Linked DNA regions of Caenorhabditis elegans. The protein of the gene in region 4 interacts with the protein of the main gene of each other region in a pairwise test. Each region holds a gene or a part of one and is shown on either strand. Other genes may lie near its edges. The genes, in order: mpk-1, lin-36, sem-5 and F54D5.5.

What was found.
Region 1: the proteins of F54D5.5 (region 4) and mpk-1 interact in a two-hybrid assay, tested with the Caenorhabditis elegans proteins (3 studies listed by BioGRID).
Region 2: the proteins of F54D5.5 (region 4) and lin-36 interact in a two-hybrid assay, tested with the Caenorhabditis elegans proteins (3 studies listed by BioGRID).
Region 3: the proteins of F54D5.5 (region 4) and sem-5 interact in a two-hybrid assay, tested with the Caenorhabditis elegans proteins (3 studies listed by BioGRID).

What each region holds. Positions count from the first base shown.
Region 1 is NC_003281.10:4,225,044-4,229,657, reverse strand, and holds the start of mpk-1 (Mitogen-activated protein kinase mpk-1), read left to right. Parts: upstream 1-1,563; coding exon 1,564-1,767; intron 1,768-4,614. Other genes in the region: F43C1.5 (uncharacterized protein), read right to left, coding at 1-110, 231-347, 393-461. UniProt on the Caenorhabditis elegans protein: Functions in let-60 Ras signaling pathway; acts downstream of lin-45 raf kinase, but before the lin-1 gene product in controlling vulval cell differentiation. Plays a negative role in proximal germline proliferation in the mitotic zone.
Region 2 is NC_003281.10:8,016,097-8,022,741, forward strand, and holds lin-36 (Protein lin-36), read right to left. Parts: upstream 4,778-6,645; 5' UTR 4,775-4,777; coding exon 4,676-4,774; intron 4,620-4,675; coding exon 4,521-4,619; intron 4,446-4,520; coding exon 3,862-4,445; intron 3,761-3,861; coding exon 3,640-3,760; intron 3,565-3,639; coding exon 3,026-3,564; intron 2,925-3,025; coding exon 2,516-2,924; intron 2,393-2,515; coding exon 1,988-2,392; intron 1,922-1,987; coding exon 1,464-1,921; intron 1,416-1,463; coding exon 1,349-1,415; intron 1,134-1,348; coding exon 1,026-1,133; 3' UTR 552-1,025; downstream 1-551. Other genes in the region: F44B9.5 (Lipid droplet-regulating VLDL assembly factor AUP1 homolog), read right to left, coding at 103-250, 318-441; F44B9.2 (uncharacterized protein), read left to right, coding at 6,367-6,645. UniProt on the Caenorhabditis elegans protein: Required to negatively regulate vulval development. Antagonizes Ras-mediated vulval induction. Acts cell autonomously.
Region 3 is NC_003284.9:7,958,948-7,963,501, forward strand, and holds sem-5 (Sex muscle abnormal protein 5), read right to left. Parts: upstream 2,777-4,554; 5' UTR 2,766-2,776; coding exon 2,688-2,765; intron 2,638-2,687; coding exon 2,537-2,637; intron 2,366-2,536; coding exon 2,243-2,365; intron 2,196-2,242; coding exon 2,088-2,195; intron 2,040-2,087; coding exon 1,903-2,039; intron 1,404-1,902; coding exon 1,264-1,403; 3' UTR 506-1,263; downstream 1-505.
Region 4 is NC_003280.10:11,564,025-11,568,655, forward strand, and holds F54D5.5 (uncharacterized protein), read right to left. Parts: upstream 2,997-4,631; coding exon 2,819-2,996; intron 2,695-2,818; coding exon 2,603-2,694; intron 2,357-2,602; coding exon 1,646-2,356; intron 1,594-1,645; coding exon 1,305-1,593; intron 738-1,304; coding exon 529-737; downstream 1-528. Other genes in the region: F54D5.15 (ZM domain-containing protein), read right to left, coding at 96-129.

The DNA.
Region 1 (4,614 bases), on a different chromosome or scaffold from region 4:
AAAAATTTTTGATTTTCTCTCAGTTTTTCGTTTATTTCATGCCTTCGCTGCCTTAATTTTGTTAAGTCTCCTCCATGTGGAATAGATTCAGAAGTCGTTGTAGTTGGCGTCTGAAATTATTTTTGGAATTTATCGATCGAAATTTGAACAATTGAGATACAATATTCTCGCTGACAGTGCTTTCTCGTGTAGTAAAGCAATAATTTCTATAAACAAAAAAATTAACATACGTTATCATAAAGTAGCTCATTAATAGTGGCTGAAACATCTCCATCATATTTCCGTAGAACATATTCAATATGTGAATTGCTTAGACTGGGAAACATAGCTTGAAAGTCCAGCATTGCCTGAATATTTTGAAAATTTGTTGCCAAATTTGATTCTAGACGTACTCTATCAAAATCCAATAGTTCTTCTTCTACCACACCAGATCGGTCTTCATAGTCATCATAATCCGTCATTATTTCGTTAGAAAAAGCTGAAAAATAGTGTTGAAAATGAAATGAGTCAGCATTATGAAGAAGAACGCTCGTACAAATATTAAACATTTTGGGTGGGCGGTCAAAAAGAATGAGACAGTGTTGTGTGTGTACAATGGTGATTGTATTATCGGTCTGCGGTGAGAGAGTTATGAAAAAATACAGGGAAAATAGGCAGAATTTGGAGTGAAATTGCTAGTAAACTCGGAGTTTTTTTTTTGAAAAACTGCAAGTTAGAGTCTCTAAAGTTCGGAAAAAAGCTTTCTCTGACATCATAAATGATTTTTGCTCTTTTTTACTTCAACATAGTGATTTGGGAAACCATACAAAAGATAAATGGCTTCAAAACAGGAACAATATTATGCATTTTCTGACGAAGCTAATTAATTGACGAGGAGAAACTCATAGACTTTTTATTCATAAAAACAACTTTCGAATAGATTTTCTGCATTTTCTGTTTTTACATAGTTGGCCAGTTTTACTTTTACTGCGGGAAAAGTTCTATACGATTTTTTTTCCTTTATTTAGTGTATCCATTGAGCTAGAAAATACGAAAATTTGCCTTATGTCCCGAATATATCTGTAAAAAAAAACAGTGTTTAATTTTTCAATGATTTATTCAATTTCGCTGAAATATAAATACAAAATCGGCGGAAGGGAATTTGAATTTTTGCACTTTCTGGCAAAATTCATGGATTTTTATAATTTCACTTTTCATACATTTTTAAACAAAAAATGAAATAATAGTTAAATAATCGAATTTTGAACTGATTTTAAAGTTTCCGAAATTTTATTTCAGGTCGTCAAGTTTTCTTCACAAAAAAATCAAAAAAAAAATCATGGAGCCGTTTCTTTTATTTTTGCAAAATTGAAAAAAATCATTAAAAATTCAGAAAAAGAAATCTATAGTTTTTTTTAACAGTTAAATTTGGTAAATTGAGGGAATTTTCAAAAAAAGTTCCTTTGCAATATCAGAAATTTCTTTTCCGACGAAATATTTCACACTCTCAAATATTTTTATCCGTTGCCAGAACTTCTTCTTCATAAAACTAATAATTCTTTAATTTCAGAACCACGAAACATGATGCCAACGTGGATACCTAACAATTTGTGCGCACAGCCGACAACGAGAAATGCTAAACCACCATCGAACGGGCATCCACAAGCGACACAACAACAATCTGCTCCGGGATCATTGGCATACCGTAATTCGAGCAACATACCGAATGGAGCAACCAACCACGTCAGACAACAGAAATGGCAGTACACTCGTTCAGGACATAGAAAGGTACGAATGATAAGAAAATATGAAAAAAAAAGTTGGAGAAAAATAAACAAAAACAAGCATTTTTAGAAGCTGAAAAATATTAAAATGCTCTTTGGTCAGTTGGAAAATTTGAAATTTTTGCATTGAATTTCTACATTGAATTTAAATTAGAAAGTAAAAATACATTAAAAAATTAAGTCATTCAATTTAATTGCAAAATTCACAAAACGTTTTCAAAAAAGTGCACAATGTTCAAATAATCAGAACATAGCACGTAATCGGGTTGATTTGCCCATTGTGCTCCCATTATCGGGAAAATAAGTTGCGTATTGCATCAAAACCACTAACTTTGTACTTTTATTAGCCTATTAAGACTACCGTGACAGAGTACTGTGTGTGTGTGCTGGAAGAAAAGATTAGTGATGTGACGTTGATTGGTAGTTTTTGAATTGGAAAAGAGAGAAACGGAAGTGTGAAAGTTTGAATAGCTCAATGAAAATGGTTGATTTGAATGAAAAAATTCAAATTTTAAACCAGAAATTGTGCTTTGTGTTTTAAGCTTGAAGGTTTGATGATTTTTGCAGATTGACACTTCATTGACGTATTTAGTTTATACCGGAACACCTCTTAGAATCGTAGTTTTTCAACGAAATTTGAATTTCTGCTAGTAGAAAAAAACTGTTCACAACTTGAACATTTCGTATGTATCCCAAAATGCGATACCCGGTCTCGAAACGACACATTTTTTGGTAAATGCAAATAAGTGTGCGCCTTTAAAGAGTACTGTAATTTTAAACTTTGCTGTGTAATTTTCATCAAAATTTTTCGATAAAATTTTTTTTAACCTCAAATTAAAAAAAAGGTTTTTTTTTAATTATGAGAAAAACTATTTAAAAAATCGAAACTGGGTACCGTATTTTTTGGCGTAAAAATCCTAAAATTTCGCTACTGGGTAATAGTTGTATTTTCGAGGTTCCACTACAAATTACCGTAATCTGAGTGTCCCCCAAATTGAATATATTTGCATTCTTCTAAAGTTTCCAGTTAAGACATCTAAAATCTAATAGAATTAATTGAATTGGTCGTCTGATTGACATTCCAGCGTGCAAGCGGAGATTGGAGAGAAAAACAATGTTTTTTTTTCAAACCGAAAATCAGAACTTTTAAACGAACAAGGAAAAATCGAAAAGGAGTGTTCAAATACAAGAATCCATCTTCCGGAAGTTTTCTTCGTGCGTTTGGCCTAGATGACCCAGATTTTTCCTTTTTTCCGGACTTGAGCTACAGTTTACTGTACTTTGACACGTATTCCTTTGGGAACCCCGAGGATTTACACTAATAATTGATGTTGATCTATCTTCTACCCGCTTTCCATCAACAAACTATTATTTTGAAATCCCGTTGTGTACCCGGGTGAATGACTGACAGAGGTGTGAGGTACTTTGTGTATTATTTATGTTTCTCAAAATGAATGTAGATTGATTCATTGTAGTTTCACAGTATCGAAATTGAATTTTTCCGGAGTTAAAGTGTTCAGTAGTAGTTTTCAGAAACTAATTAGTTTTTTATCTAATAACTTCATACATCTGTTACAATTGTTGAATACCATTTTTTGTCATGATGAATCTATAGTTTCTTCTATATAGAATGAATGCGAACTCAACAGGAAATGAAAACAAAAATTCCGACTACCAATTTTTCCTTAAATTTGAGAATCTGATATTCAATTCTGAACCAGAAATCTGAAAATCTGGAATTTTACATCTGAAAAACCATGGAAATAAGTTGAAAAAGGCATTGAACATTATAAAACTCATATGTTCAATTGGCCAAATTCTCACTCGGAACGTTTCCAATATCCCGGAAGTTTTTGCAACTGAGACAAACTGAATTTCCCGACATTATTTCTCGAATTGAATCTTCTTTCAAAATTCTTACTCATTCGACAACACATATGTTTCAATTTTCCTCGGAATTGGGTGTGTTTTGTGTCGGATTTCCTCTCATTTTCGTTCGGTTTTTATTGTTGCGTGGAGAGCTGCATGGAAGAAAAAACCAATTTGATATGAAAGAAGAGCAACACTCATCATTCTTCTCCTCGGAATCGTAAAACCGTAATTGTACGCGTTGGTTTATTTGTCGATGAAGATGATGAGTAGGAGGAGATGAAGAAATTGAAGACGTTAGAAAGAAGAGAAAAGCGTAGAATTACACGCTTCGAAATTTGAGATTTAAGATGGAAATGCGGACGACAAGAAGAGCTCGTTCAAAAGATCGATTTTCATTAAAATTTTATATGGATTTCAAAAAAATTTCGGCAGGTTCTTTTCTACTTTGCGACTTTCAGAATTGAACTTGCTAGCTCCATATTCCGCATTAAATCTCATCGTAACATAAAAACGATTAATTTTCCAAACTCTAATAATTCATTTGTGAGAGATTTTTTTTTCTCTTTTCCATTTCATCGAAAATTCCGCGTTTTCTTAATCTCTGGATTTGTGATTTGGGCGAGAATCTCAGATTTTGCAAAAGAAAAAAGTGACGCGAGATTTTATTTACTCTCAAAAAATGATAGTTCGCAACTGCAAAAAGGAAAATAGAAAAGTATACTCCTTTTTTCTATGTCGAACTAAAAAGACATGCATCCTATATCCTTTAATTCGTTATTCGAACTTCATTAACGTGTTGTGCTCATCGGTGCAGATCCAGTCATTTGAATACTTTTTTCCCTTCCTCTTCGCCTCATTTAACTCAAAAAATGGAGAAACTCGTCTTTTCTTCTTTTTTTCCTTTTTCTCTACTCCAAAAAGGGCTTCTAAGTGTATTTGCACCACAACGTCTACATTAGTTGATGCTTCTCCTTGATGT
Region 2 (6,645 bases), on a different chromosome or scaffold from region 4:
AAAAATTTGCGCCTGGGCAATACGGCAAGCTTCCAATTTTTCAGTAACTTGTTTCTATTTTTTTGGAGATATCAAATATTTTTCAAAAAAAAAATCACAAACCTGTGACCAGATTTTTCAACGACAATTCCGAGAATTGAGCACATAATTCGAAGAGTGTGCATTCTCAAAGCAGCAGATTTTCTGAGTAGACATGCAACAATAAATGTGTGGAAACCGAGGAAAACACGAATTAAAAGAATAATTAAACCTGAAATTTTGATTTTTTAAAACTTTTACTTTTTGGAATGTGTCAAAAAATTTGAAAAAAATCTCACCAACTGGAGCATAAATAATCGAAAATATTTTAGCAATCGTATCTTCATTTCGTTTTTGATGGAATAAATCTTCGATACGAAGATCTTCTGTATTTCCAGAAGACGATGCTTCTGGTGATGCCATTCTAAATTTTAGGATTTTTTTAAATTTTTCATGGTTTTTTCAAAATATAATGTTATGGATAATCAGGTAGCCTATAGAAAAAATAATCTGAAAACTCTTTTCAAAAACCTACCAAGCAAAATCATTTATTTATTGACTTTTAGTCATATTTGGCACACAAACGCACATATCTTTCAAACTTGAATGTAATTGAAAACTAGGGAAACGTTTAAATAGACTTTGGCTCATTTTTTGTGAATAATTCAGATTAATTTATGATAGAAAAAGTGTGGTTTTTGGGGAGGGGGCGGGGGCTTATGGAAAGTAAAACAAACTATTAATTTTGGAAAGTAAATTATAGGGGGGAGGGGGGGTAAAAAATGGGAAAAAAGTAAATGTGAAAATCCTAAAAATCTAGACGAAAATCTATCCTAGTCGGAGTTTTTATCAGATTTCAAGAATTTCGAATGAAAGTAAAATGGGATAACTTCTGTGGATATAAAACAGAGATAGTTCACATGAAAGAAATGTGGGGCGATCCTCGAAAGGACAATTGACTTTTGAATCTTGAATTTTGAGGCACTTTCTTTGATAATTAAAAATAATTATTGTTGAGAATCCGATGATCCTTGTCCTGGAAATTGTTCTTGCTGCTGTTGTTGTTGTTGTTGTTGTTGTTGAAGTTCACGCCATTTTGGATCTTTTTTGGTGAGCTGAAAATCATAAGAATGAAACAAACTGATTGATAACGCCAAATAGCGGAGAAAACATGTTTTTAAAATAAATTGTGTTGTGATCAGTGATTTTTGATGTTTCAATCGGAATTTTTTCAAAGCAAATGGTTTCAAATTGAGAACAACATAAATAAAATCTTTTAAAAAACGAAAATTGTTACTAAAATTCAGAATTGAAACTAATAAAAACATACCACTTGTGCTCCATCGTTAGAGTAGAAAATTTGATAATCTTCAGTCCTTTCGCCAAACAGACGAGCTCTGCAAAAAATTAAACGATTTATCAAAGTAGACCTCCCATGGGCTCACCTGGCTCTCGCAGCTTCAATTTGCCGGATGCAATGACGGGAAAGTCTCATGTCAGCGCGCATTTTCGTCACGGTGCGACATTTGATAGCGTCTTCCATTGCTCTGTAGTAATGAGCATCTTTCATCATTTCTTTTGAGATTTCTTCCATATCTTGATCTTTAACTGTTCCACTTGAACCATCCATCTCAAGAGCCTCTGCCAGCGTAAGCATCGGTTGCCTCTCGGAAGATGTTGAAGAAGTGGCAACATCTTCAGACGATGAGTTTCCCATAGAATCAATGACTTCTTCGACCATTTCAACTTCCATATCCGTTGCTGGAATCAGATACTCATCAGAAACAACCACCGGAGAAGATGCTGAGAAGTTTGGCGATGACTCGTGATGGGAGAGTGTTGGTCGTGGAGTTGATGTTTTTTTTCGTGGTGAAAGGATCAGTGGTCTTCGGGAGAGCACACTCTGAAGCAATAAATTAGAAAAAATATCAAAGTCTCCTAATAAATAATTCTAATATATTAAACTTACCGGTCTCTTAGCAGGCCCTTTTTCTTGTGCAACAGCTCCCATAACTCTTTGAGAAAAGATCCCGCCAGGAGAGGATGAAGTTGGTGGTCTTGATATGACTCCAGAAGATAATGAACGTCCTCCACCAAGTGATGCAGTAGCTGTGAACGATTCTAATGGAATCTGATATTTAGCCATCGAAGGACGAACTCCAGCAACAAAAGATCTCGCGAGCATTGATTTTAGAGGGCGTTCTTCCGGCTCTTTTTCTACTGGTGCCGGTTTTGCGACAGGAGTTGCTGGTTTTTCAACTTTTTGAACAGCACTCTCCTTAGTTTTCGATCGTGTATTTCTGGCGATAAATTTTTGACTTGTTGTCGGTTCTGGTGTCTGCTCCGAAGATGTCACTTTGTCTTCTGGCTCCGTCTGAATAAAAAACATTATCCTAGTAATTCGAATTTCAACATGCTACAAAGTAAAAGAGGAATTTCAAAAGTTACAAATTAAGTTCTAATCTATTATTTAATAAATTCAGTAAATAAAACTCACCGAAGAAGTAGCAGCGATCCCTTTGGCCAAATTATAAGCCAAGGCCTTTCTCGGCTTCTTCGTTGCTGCTTCTTGTTTCTTGAATTGTTTGGCATTGATCAATCGCTTAACTTGCTGAGATCTTTTCTGAACCATTTTGGCAAATTGTTCATCTCGTTCCTTCAAACGAAGACGTTCACGTGGATCATTTGGTGAAACTGTTGGTTCTCTCTCTACACTTTCAGGAGTTGGATCGTGTTCTTCTTCGTGTGAAATTTTCCGTTTCTTAGCTGGAGTTGATGGAGCTGTAGCAGGAACTTCGTGTTTTGCCACCTTCTTGATTGGTGAATTTGTAGCGGAAGTTGCGAGACGTGTTGCTTTACGTCGTTCACCAGATCCCATTGGAGCTTGTGGAGACTGATGGGAAGTTCTAAAAAATTTAATTGCTTCTTTGATTTCCATTTAGTAAGATTTTTTAAATTTCGTTACGCAGGATGTTCTCTAACTCGAACATTTTTTGACAAAACTTACAGTTCAGAAACATCGTCTGACTCTTCTTCTGCATGTTTTTTCTGACTGCTCTCTTGCTCCTTCGTTCCTTGAGCCGATTCTTCTGCTTTTGTATTAATCTCTGCTTCTCTTCTCAATTGCAGAAACACTTGTCGCTGCATTACGTTCAGATCATTCACACTTGTACCACCTTCTTTTCCAACAAACGATAATGTCCTCACTGCCTTCTTTCTCTTCTCTTCATCGTGAACCATTTTCGTACGCTCTTCTGGATTTTGCACGTAGGCTTTTTTCGTTGGTGAAGGTGTGAGTACGATTTCATTTGCTGGTGGTTCACAGCCGTGATATGCCACATAAACGTTGCGACGAGTCCAGTTATCCCAGCTTTCCGCTGGATCCAACTCAGTAGCGCGGCAGTTCATTTTAGCGAATTCATATATTCTACGAAGATGACAATGATGAATGGGGCCAGCATTCAAGTGACGACGATATCCAGATATTGTCTTGTAACCATATGTGCATTTTCTACAGAATGGGCACATGAAGCCAGCTTCTGGGACCTGTGAAAAATATTAATTTTTGTTATAAGAATTATGTGATAAAATAAGAGTATTAACTAAAAAGCTTGAACTTACATCCAAAACATTATCTTTTTTCTTGAGCATTTCCTCCGTGTGATTGAGAAGATGTGTCTGAAGCTCGACAACACTGCACGAGTGGAACTCACATACGGTACAGACCCATGGCACTCTGGAACTTTTATAAAATCGTGAAAGAGGATGTTTTAGCCAAAAATCGAGCTAACATATTCATTCACAAGCTTTTTCGTTTCGAGCAGAACCAGCTTTTCTTCTTACCTTTTTTTACTCGGTGTCGTCTTAACGTCTGGTGAAATAGCAACAGGAACTCCAAAAGCTTCGATGGCAGATTTGTTGAAATTGTGATTCCTGAAGCACTCCTCGGCGAAGTGCTCAGTACAAATTGGACCGGCAGCAATTGAAAACGATACAGGACCCATTTTACTGCGAAGAATATCTTTGTATTTGAATCCAAGCAAATTTGCCCAAATTCTGCGCCTATCCAAGTCTGCTGGGAAGTTTAGATGCATCTCTCCCGATTTCATTACTCGATTACAAACTGTACATGGCTTATGAGTCAAATTGGAGTATGGAGAAAACTTCTTGAAATGATCAACAACATATATTCTCAGTCTCCCATTTGACATCCGGTACACTTCTAAATGCTCTCCATCTGGCGGAGTTCGTGTCATTCGGCTTAAAGTCTCCGGAATAACTTGGCACGGAAAACTGGAGTAGACACTTTCGCCTTTGCCGTGGATAATTTCTTCTCTTGGTTGTGACGACGAAGCTTGTTTAGTTGGAGTGACTTGGCTTTCATCAAGAACTTCACCACTTGATGTGACAGTTGGCATTACGGGAATCTGAAAATAAAATGATGTATTCTATTCCGGCCAATGGGCACATGCATTAATACGAGAATGAAAATGTAAACGTACATCGTGTTCGTCCTCATCTTCTCCTATTACGTCAACATCACCCTCAGTTTCCTGCAATGCGTCTACAGTTGAGGATTCTTCACCAGAATGCTGTGAATCCTAAAAATGCATTGATATTCATAAGCGGCGAGAATGTTTCTCAATTATCACCATACCTGTTCAACTGAGTGCACCGTCACGTGTGAGTCTTCTGGTTCTTCAATATCATTATAATCCCTTTTACTGGGTCTAGTACTCAGCAATTCTTCCGACATTTCCTGCAATCAAATATTTTTGGAAAAGCCTTTCTTTTGCAAATTCTACACATTTTGAGCACAAAAACAGAAAATACAGTGAATTTAATTGTTTAAAACGCTCAAGAGATACAAATAATAACGAAAAACATTGATAATAAGTGAAAAATGAGTCGAAAGTGTAAAAATCGATAATTGTCCGGCCAATTTTTGTACAATTCTGGCTCCCACTCATCTGATGTACGCAAACACCGCCACGCGCGGTTGCGTACTTTTTCTATGACGTCTCTCCGTTTGCTACGCTCTCTCGCCGAACAAGCGACTTGGAACTGGAGGGACGTTGAATTGATGATATCAATATGGAGACAGGTCATTTGTATAAATGATTGACACCAATTTATCCAAAATACCACGGAGATAACACCAGGAGTTTGAGAAGTACATATTCGTTAACAATAAGTGATTTAAAGCAGGGGAATTAATTAATTACAACGGGAACATCATAAGCTTGGAACATTTCGTTGCCAAATTAAATCGAACGGAAGACAGTTTTCTCTAGGTTCAGGTATAGTAGAAGCTTGAGCAAACATATGCGTATAGTAAGTGATGTTTACTCAGGTACTCATATTCTATTAGATACCGTACCCCGAAAACTAGAAATAGGATTTCTAGTTTTCGGGGTACGGTATCTAATAGAATGTCTTCCAGAAACGATTATAACAGACACGTAATCTGGGTGGAATGCTGAAAAATAATTCTGATTTTTATTTAGAAAAATTATTTCAGAAGATGCATCTTCCTCTTAAGATGCTCTCAATTTTTCTTCCGTACACAATTAAAAATCATAATCTGGTGACAGCTCATACAGAAGCGCAATTCTTGCCCTGGCTTGTGAAGTGATTACATTTTTCGAAAATTATAATGTATTATTCGTCTGAATACAATACTTAGCACGAGCAAAAGATTTCAAAGATGACAAGTCATTAGACATCTCTTCATAAAAGCGATTACGGTATAACTTCTTATTGGGAGTCGACTTAAACCCCCAAAGACAAGAAACACATTAAAAAACAAATAGTGAAAAATTCTTAAACTCAATAACAAACAATCAGACTACCGTACTCACACAAATGAAAGTTTTCTGCCATCTGTACTTTTAATATCCGGCCTCTCTAGGGAAGCATTTGTAAAAAAATTGTTTCATGGTTTAATCAAGTTACAATAAATTGTAGCTCGCGTAAATGTTCATGCATGAATCTTAAATTTCCAGGTGTCAATTTTCCAAAAACCTATCTTCACTTCTCAAGTCTAAAATCTCTCGGATCCCTTCCTTCTCCTCCCCCGATTTCACTGATCAAGTCCGTGTGCAACTCTGCGTATCTTCATCTTACACACTATTCAGTGTTTAATGCTCACTCAGGCGGGCTCAAAACAGTGTAAAAATGGCCTCTAAACCCTCTTCCGTCGTTCTGCCAATTTCTCTATTGCCAACAAAACAACCAACATGCCATCCATATCACTACTACTACAAGAGTTTTTTTTGAATAAAACCAATCTCGCATACTTTTTCTACTTTATGAAGCATCAAAACTCAGTACAATTTCTATTTTTAGATGGCTGACGATGAAGATGATATAGTTTGGATTCGTGAAGATACAGCTCAATCATCAGTTCCAACATCTCCAACAACTCCAGCAACTATCATTGAAGCTGCACCTGTATTGAGTGATGCATTTGATAAACCAATTCTAAAATCAGTTGAAACTATTTCTGTATCAAATGGACCACCTGAAGTCACAATCAGTGCTCCACCACCAACTCCTCCAGCTGCTCCATTAGCCCCACAGATAACTCCAATGGTGCTTTCAACAGTTCCAGATGCAGCTCCTGCT
Region 3 (4,554 bases), on a different chromosome or scaffold from region 4:
AATCAAAGGTGTGGTAAAGCAAAAGACATTAACGTTGCTTTAAAAAAATTGAGAGCACTATTGCATTTTTGAGACTCACAAATTATAATTTAAAAAAATAACTTAAAATTTAGAATAAATTGTTATCTGGTATATCCAAGAAATAAGTAAAGACGGCGCGCTTTTTGGTTGAAAAAAAATTGATTTTTAAGTTCGAAAAACATACCACTTCACCTTTTCCGTTGACAAAAGATTTCACAACCCATTACGCTCATTTTAATTATTATCATTGACTCGTTATAGAATTTTAACTAATGGTTTAATTTCGTTTTTAGAGCCGTATAAACTTTAAAACTAATCGGAGAAGACTTTTATTAAAATTCGAAATGTCTGAGTATTTTGTTCAAACTAGCTTGCAAAATGTGAAAATGTCATTAAAGGAAACTCCACATGCAAAATTTTCCAGATAAACTACTTTGCATCTACAAATTATGTTCTGTAAAAATTATAGAAAGTGGATTAATATAATAATTATTAACCTTCATTGATTTACAAAGGGATTGGAAAATACTTGACAAATTCGATATAAAAGCAAGACGGCGAGTAAAGTGGGAGGCAGAGAGAAGCTTCATGATGCTCTCGACAAGAGATTGAGCCGGAGGAATAGAATGAAGTGATAAAACTATATCAGAACAGTGTGAGTTGTGATAAAACCGAACAATGTAGCACCGAACGAAAAATCGTATTGGTTTTGGATGAATTGCAAAATGTCAAAAGAAAAAGAGAGACAATGACGAGAAATGGCAAATAGTTATGACAAAAATTGCATGAACACAAAAAAAAACAAATGCGAACAGTCTCTGAGTATTGTGTCAGAGTATCTAATCGCTTAATAGATCCGTAATAGAATTGGTGTGGGGTTGGAAGAAAGCGGGAAAGAAAAGGCTGTTGATAACACAACAAGAATTGTATCATTGCCAACGAAACCGAACAAAAAATCGATAAAACATTGCCAATGGCAGTTCCAAGTTGCAAAGAATAAAAACATTGAAAATTCATGGTCTACATGTAAAACACGAACAACTTATCTCAGTTTTGAGAAAGTTGTGAAATTAATACCCAGCATTGGAAAGTGTGTTTGTGACAAGATTTAGTGATTATTATTGGAGATTAAGTAAGAGAGGGCTTATTAGACTACTATGTCAAGAACAAATGGTATAGAAGAAACATTGAACGCTCCTTTTAAAGAACGAACAGAGACAGGAAAAATCCTAAAATAACGTCCTAATTTCCAAAGTTGAAGCCAGGAGCCACGTTGGAGTTGCTCTTATTGCTATTGTAAGGGCATACGTAGTTGGATGGGAAAATTCCACGCCTGTTGTTCAGCTGTCCTTCCCACCAGTTTGGATCGTCTTTGTTGATCACTGAAAATAAAATATAAGAGATTTTCTAAATGTTTTATTTTTCGGGGTTGCTCAACCCCGACAAATAGATGATCAACCGATTAACTCTATTTTTACGTTGTGAACATTCATAATGCTGCAAATTGTATCTTGAAATCCAATGTTTCTCCGAAAAGTAAATAATAGCCACAGAGTTTTTTCATTTCAATTTGAGTTTATACAAAAACTAATCTAACAACTGATTTTCAATACGTGCATTTATTTGTTCCAGTGAAAGTTAGTTTAAGCAAGACGTCTCATATTATCTTCCTAGTACTTTGTATTACCTTTTTGTTATTTTTATGGTTCTTCTTAAATATTCTTGTTTTAAGATCTATAAAGTGAATAGTTTCAAAATTTTCGAAATACAGTCCAAGATATATCCATTTTTACCATTTTCAATTAAACCTAGAATTTTTTGATTCAAACTTTCAATTGAACATTTTAAAATCATGAAAATTTGTGTTTCAAAAACACTTACAAGTGATAACATCTCCTCTTTTGAAAGCTAGCTCTCCACTCTCCTGTGGGTTGAAATCAAACAGGGCCTGTACAAATTTAGTCTCCACATTCATATCTGACAGCAATATTGTGTGAGTACGCGAAACAGAAGCGGTTCTGAAAATTATTGATTTTTTACTTTTTTTTTGAAAAAGTGTGACTCACCTGTGATAAGCAACTAATTCATTCAAAGAGTTGAATTTGACAGCCCACAAGTAATATTTACCATTTTGATCACGCAAAACTTTGAAATGTTGTACAGAATCTTGGAATCTGGAAAAAAATGTATAACTTTTTGAAAATCTATAACATCTTCTTACCGAACACTGATCGAAAATTCTCCTGGACTACTTTCACACTGTCGGACAAGGAAATGACCATCACGTACGGTTGGCTTTTTCAGCAATACTTCTGCGTCATTTCTTGTTATTTTACCAAGGTACCTAAAAATCCAGAAATTTTAAAAATTGTTTACGCAAGCGTTCTCAGTTCTTCGCGCCCTAGCTGCGGGGTATACAAACAAAAACCGCGAGAAGTAAGATCGACTGATTTTTAAAATATAAGCTTATAGATTAAATCCTCAAAAAAGTCAAACTATTTTTTCCCGAACATACCAATTGCATTCAGTCATACGAATATAATTAGAAGGAATGAATCCTTCATTTCCATCCAATTCAGCTTTATACCAATGTGGATCTTCATCTTTGTTCAAAACCTGCAATTATTGATTTTATCAGGGCCCGGTTATGATATTGTTGAACAAACTTTTAGCGTGTTTCCTCTCTTGAAAGACAACTCATCAGGTGATCCCGCCTGGAAATCATGCTCGGCGACCGCCTCCATCGTCTCGCTACCTGAAATATACTCTTTGCAGCTTCAGAAACAATTAACACCAAAATAAAACATAACAGAGTACATTGAACAAACATTGTTGTCAATAAATTGGCCTGCTTGAGAGACTGTATCTACATATCGACATATCCGCGCGGCGCCAATGAAAAATTATTAGAGCAATAAAAAAATCTAGCGGCAAAGCATAGAGGAACAACTGAGAGGGAAAATGAGAATGAGAAGAGCGTAGTGCAAATTGTAACAGGAGATGAGTAAGAGGACCGGCGAGAAAAAAGAAGGATAAATGAAATTGAGAAACGCAGAACGCAAAATAAAAACCCGCAGGGTCACTAGTTCGGTGATTGAGGTGGTTTTAGTTGAGTGTTTGAACGTGAAAACGGGGAAACAGTGGAAACAGTAGAAACCGGAGAGTAACAAACCGGGGCAACACTAAGTGTCGTCGATTCCGGCGCATTGTATGCAACACTAAATGTGCCGAATGCTACGACACTACTTTTCTCTAATACTCCAAATCTATCACGCGTTCTTCGTGTCTCTTTTTTCTCTCCCATCTTCGCACTGTCTCTATCTGTCTCTCCCACACACACACAAAAACAACGGCGAGTTTGGGCAGGCCGGACCGTACTGTTTTCCGCAATGAGTTCTGTAATTTACATGGTTTCAAATGGAGATTCAGAGAAAAAAGTGCGATACGCTATCAGCAGTCATCATGCACGTCTTTTCTTACACTTTTGAATGAATGGCCGGAGAAACGGAAAAGAACAAATGAAAAGTGATAAGAGAACACGAGAAAACGAAGAAGAAAGAATCAAATTGAAAATGCTCCAAGGCATTGGGTATTGCAATTCATCGATTAGAAGAATGTCAACAAACACACTCCCACCTTGTCCTGTCCAGCCTGAGGTGACTAACCGTCTAGAAATCAAAACATTTGGGTGTGCTGGGTAGTCAGTACCGATTCTCTTTTCAAAAATAAAAATGAAAACTATTTCGGAAATAGGGCTAGAGATGATAAATTAGATAGGAAACATAAATAGATTGCAACTTCAATCAAATTTTTGAACTTCAGTTGCTGGAAAATTATTTAGCAGTTAAAAAATTTAATGAAAATTACGAAATAAGACTATAATTTAACCGATATAAAAAAGATAATCGAACCTGTGACAGTTACTCATAAATACTTGACATTTTAATCGGTGAGTGTACGTAAATATAATAAGGAATAGTGTTTTCTAGCTGGAAACCAACTGTATTTACTACTAGTTAGTTTGACAAATGTGTATTTACCTGACTAATACAAAATCGTAAGAACAGTATCTATAGTAAAACTAATATATGACTGAAATTAACTTTTTTAAGAACCAAAATATTAAATTTTGTCACTGGTTCTTTAAATATATCCATATAACTTTTCTGAAAATTCTCACTGTTTTACAGTGTGAACTTCCAAGAGCAAGGTTATGTGACTGATTTGTCAATAAATTTACTAGGTTCCGTAGTCGGCAACTCGTGGCCACTTCTCAACCTACTTTGGCCACTTTCTAACTGCCATTAGATTTCCACCACTTCCCACTTCTCGACCAACTTTCGTCAACTTTCACACACTTTTTCTAGTTGCTTAGAGCGTAAAAACCCTGTTTAACCAACTTTTGCCACTTTTGCAAATGACAGTTAGAAAATGGCTAAAGTTGGTTGAGAAGTGGCGCCGATTTACCGAATAGATTAACATTCTCAGTAAAACATTCTGAATTTGTATCGTTAACAGAAACTTAACCCAAAT
Region 4 (4,631 bases):
ATGGACGTTCCTACTTTTTTTTTTTGAAAATATGTTATTATTAATTATAAATATTAGTTTTATCAAATCGGAACCAAAAAAATATTAAAATTAACTGTTACTGATAAACGGTGCCGATCGATGTGCCATAAAGTGATGCAGGAATAGGAAAAATCGAGTAGTAGAGGAAGGGATAGAGAATGGCTCTCGGACTCTTTCCCAATACGAGAGGTGAAGATGCGTGAAGTGCTGATGGCGCCGACGCAATAGATCAGACGAATCAAGAGCCGCAGAGAGTGGAACGCGCGGAGCCAGAGCATCTCCAAATGTTTCGACCGGTGGTGGTGATGAGAGCCGCACACACATACAAACACAACTGATAATATTTGGATTTGTGCGGAAAGACAAGATCCTGTTTCGGGTTTATTAAAGAAGAGATGGTTATAAGGTAGAAATGAAAAAAAACCGACATAACTCTTGAGAAAATTGAATACAAAAAGAGAAAGTAGAAAAAATAGCTGACAATCTGGAAAATGGAAAATAAAGCAATTAAATCGACATCATAGAGAATGGACGAGACGGTGGCTTCCGATTCTCCTTATCTATTGTGGAATGATCAAGTAGAGTCACTTGGCTGTCAGCAGAGCTTGACGGAGAAATGCTGTCGACTTCTTTAGTACTTCTTGAAGTTTCGATTAAAAGTTCGGAACGATAGTCTTTCACTTCATCTCGATCATCATCTCCGTAGTTTGTGGGCACTGAAATTATTTGAAATCATGATATAGTCTTTTAAAGCTTCATGTTGGTTTTATCTACAAGAACTGCGAGAATTTATACGCAGACTTCTCAACAGATTTTGAATTGTTCAAATCGTACTGAGACCAATTTTTTCTGGGCAAAAAGTTCTGTATTTACTGTAGATCATACGGAAATGGGACACCAGAGGTGCGGCAAATTTGCCGAATTTGCCGTTTGCTGAAAACTAATGGTTTCGATCAGAAACTTAATGAAAAAAAATAACATTGTGTTTCTTTCATTTTTTTTTATTCAAGAAATCCACACGCGCATTGGGCAAAAATTGAGCGAAACCAGTTTTTGAGCTTCAAAAAATATTGCGATTTACCGAGTATGACGAGCATGGCAAAATTGCCAAATTTGCCGAGTTCGGCAAAATTTCAAAATTTGCCACACACCGTGAAGCAACAAATATAATTGAAAATTTAAAGCGAATTTATATGGCAATGAACATGATTAGATATTAGATTATTGATTGAAATTAATGTTAGAAGAAGAAGTATCGTTTGAATAAAAAGTTTCGGACGCACCCTTGAATCCTCCAGGTGGTGGAGTCATTCCCGTAAGACCTTGAGAAGTTGGTTGAAGGAATGAATTTTGAAGGAAGCTGACATCAGACGGATTTATCAATGACTCTCCGGCTCCACTTGTCATTGTCATCGGTGTGTTGCTTGATGGTGGAGCACTATTCATGAAGTTAGATGACATGTGGTGAGAAGCATTCATGGATTGGCTCATATAAGGGTAGGAGCCCATGCTCAATGGAGGTGGATATTGCTGAGGATTTGATATTTGTGGTTGACGGAGATGGTGGAATGCCTGAAAAATTATATTTATTTGAGGGTTCTCTGAAATAATAATATGAACTTACATCATATCCGGAATTCTGGAAAGCCTCGAGCTGCTTCTTGCACCGACTGAGCTCTTTTCTATAGCAATCCCGCTCCTTCTTCACTTTATCCAACTGATTCATATAGTGGAACATGGCGTTTTTGGCATCATTGCACTCTTTCTCCATATCCTTCAACTTTCTCTTTTCTTCCCGTCGCTTTTGTTCAGACTCTTTGTACTTTTGCATGTAATGTTGTTGAGCACGCTCGATGACTGCAAACTGAGCCTTTTCACTGAAATCATCATTTTCTGATTCTTCAATTCTGTCCTCGTAATGTGAATGACGACTGCTGTATTGTCCAACCGGTGATGGATCACCACTTCCGTATTCTGAAGATTCACCACGTCGACGGAAATCACTTTTGCTGCTATGATGACGTCTGCTACTCGGTTTCCGTCCTTCGTCTATCGTGTAGTTTTGTCGCATCGACTGATGAAGCACGTCACGCCTCCGATGTGAATTGCTCTTCTGTGAATACTTGTCAGACTCGTACGACACATCTGACTCGTCACGATAACCTCCCGGACAGCTTTGAGGACCTTTACGAAGTTTTGGTGCTGATGTTGTGTGATAGGCGGCAGTGGCGGGAAGAGCTCCATCGTCGGCGAAGCGAGCAACAGCTCGTCTTTGTGATTTGGAGGATGAGGTGCTCGGTGCACGGAATGAACGGCGATTGGAGACTTCGCGAGCCTGGAAATTAACAATTTGAATTTGAAAATTTCAAATTTCACGTGATGTCAGAGTGCACCATGTTGGCTTGATCTACAAGAATCACGGAAATTTAGACGCGACTTCTCAACTGATTGGAGGAAAATTTCCGCGTTTGTTGTAGGTCAATCCGTAAAAGGACAGTCTATTTTCAATGCACTTTCTAGTTTTGAGATATTAATTATCAATCACCAATATAAACCAAAAAATAAGTTTAGAAAAACTAACCAAATCCTCGTTATTCTCCTCATCTCCCTTTTTCGATTTTTTGCTCTTGAATAGTGTTCGTATGATCGCCGCCATTTTTGTAGTATCTGCGGCTGAAAAAAACTGAATTTAAAAAAGTTCTAATGAAAAGGCGTAGACACAAAAAAACACGAACGGAAATGAAAGAGAAAGAGAACAGTTCATTAAGTAAATGAGGGGGAAAGGAGAGGAACGCACAGTGGGAGATCAAAGCGAGCCGAACTGGGTGGTCAATGGGGAGAACATGGGGGCCTATAGAGTGAGTGGCGGAGACCTTGACGGACAGTGAAATATGGACTGGAAATGTGGGGAGATCAATTGGTGAAAGAGTTATTGGCGGTTTGAAAAGTAGGTCAAAAAAGACAAGATAATGCATTGGGAAAGTTCCACTTTTTCTTCCCAAATTCTGAGCACAAAGAGCTTATCGATTGAAATCTAATCTAAGAAAACAAAAAAAAACGAGTAAAATTTTGATATTGGATAACCAGAGGTCAAGTACTAGAACTCCATTAGTACGGTAAGAGCAAGCAGAACTATATCAGGAGCTCAACTTACGTAATTCAACAAGTCTCTCCCGACTGTACGCCTCATAAGGTATCGGGAGGGTGTGTTAGGAGACGGGAAGAAGAGAAAAATGGTGTGGAGACAGCAGTCACCAAACCGCCTGTCTCCTCCTCTCCTTTCACCAATAGACGAGGTCTTCTCCAAGCGTTTGCGTCTGCGTCTCTTAGTCTCGCGCGCTCTCTCCCTAGCCCCCTTCGGACCTCGCAATCGACGATCAGCATCGAGGCGGTGTCGAGTCTTTGAAGTGGAGAATTGCGTAGTGTGTCTCCTCTTCTTGGTGCTGCCAGCGTTGACGATTTGAATCGCGATGATTGCCGCCACAAATATAACCGCGACGCGCGGACCGCTTCGCATCCTATACATGGCAGAAGGTCCGCCTAATTCGAATTGGAGAACGCGCGCCTCGGGAGGAGACGGATATGACATTAAGGGTATAATGGGCATGAGAAGCATGAGAAGCATGATAGATGTCAAATGCAAATTAATCCGAGTTTGAAAATAAGCAGGAGGAATCTGTTGACCTCTCTAGAATACAAACACATGAGATTTTACAGTAACGTAACTAGATGCTAAAGAATCTGGAATTCATGAACAAATATAATATGTTTTCCGTCAGAACTTATTTGAGGAAAAAACATTCGAAGAAAATGGTTTTTAAATTAAATTTTGAATATTGGCCAATTAGACAAGACAATATTTCGTGGGCCCCACCACGCCTTGAACGCGTGTACTGTAGCCTGAAAATTTGTTTAAAATTTTAAGAAATTTGAACTTTAGAAGATATTTTCTGTCAGAAAATTAATAAAATAAATAGTTAGTGAAATGAGACTAAACTATAACTTTTGTAGAAAACGTTTGAAAAATTGCAAAGCTGCCCAAAGTATATCACTCAAAAACCGGTCAAACTACCAATTTTGGCATCTTTTTTTTTTTGAAAAAAATCAGTACACACTGACAGAAAAGTACGAGCAAACAGAAAAATAACCGCCGCTGAAGGCAATTCAAATAAACGTTCGGCATTGATCCTTTGAACTGTCCAGAACAAAGGGTGGTGATTGCAACGGAGCAGTAGTCGGTAGCCGGGAGGTATAACTGAACCACGTAGTAGAATTAGAGTGTGTAGTTGAGCAAGATATTATCTATGTACCAAGTTAGCATTAGTTATTGGTAAGTAGCAATATTGATTTTTGTTATCTAAAGATCTTAAAACCACTTTTATAGTTCTAAAATCACAAAATAACACAATTAATCTCTTCAACAAGAAAAATTAATTGTTAAAAATTGAACTTTTTAATAGACTTCGTTTTTGCCTACCACAGTTCAAAGAAGTTTAAACAAGGTTTATATCTTAATTTGGTTTAACCTTTGTTGCACTCGAAACTATTCAAAAAAGATACCAATATTTTGATAATTTGGTAATTTACCAAAACTTTATTTAAATATTGCC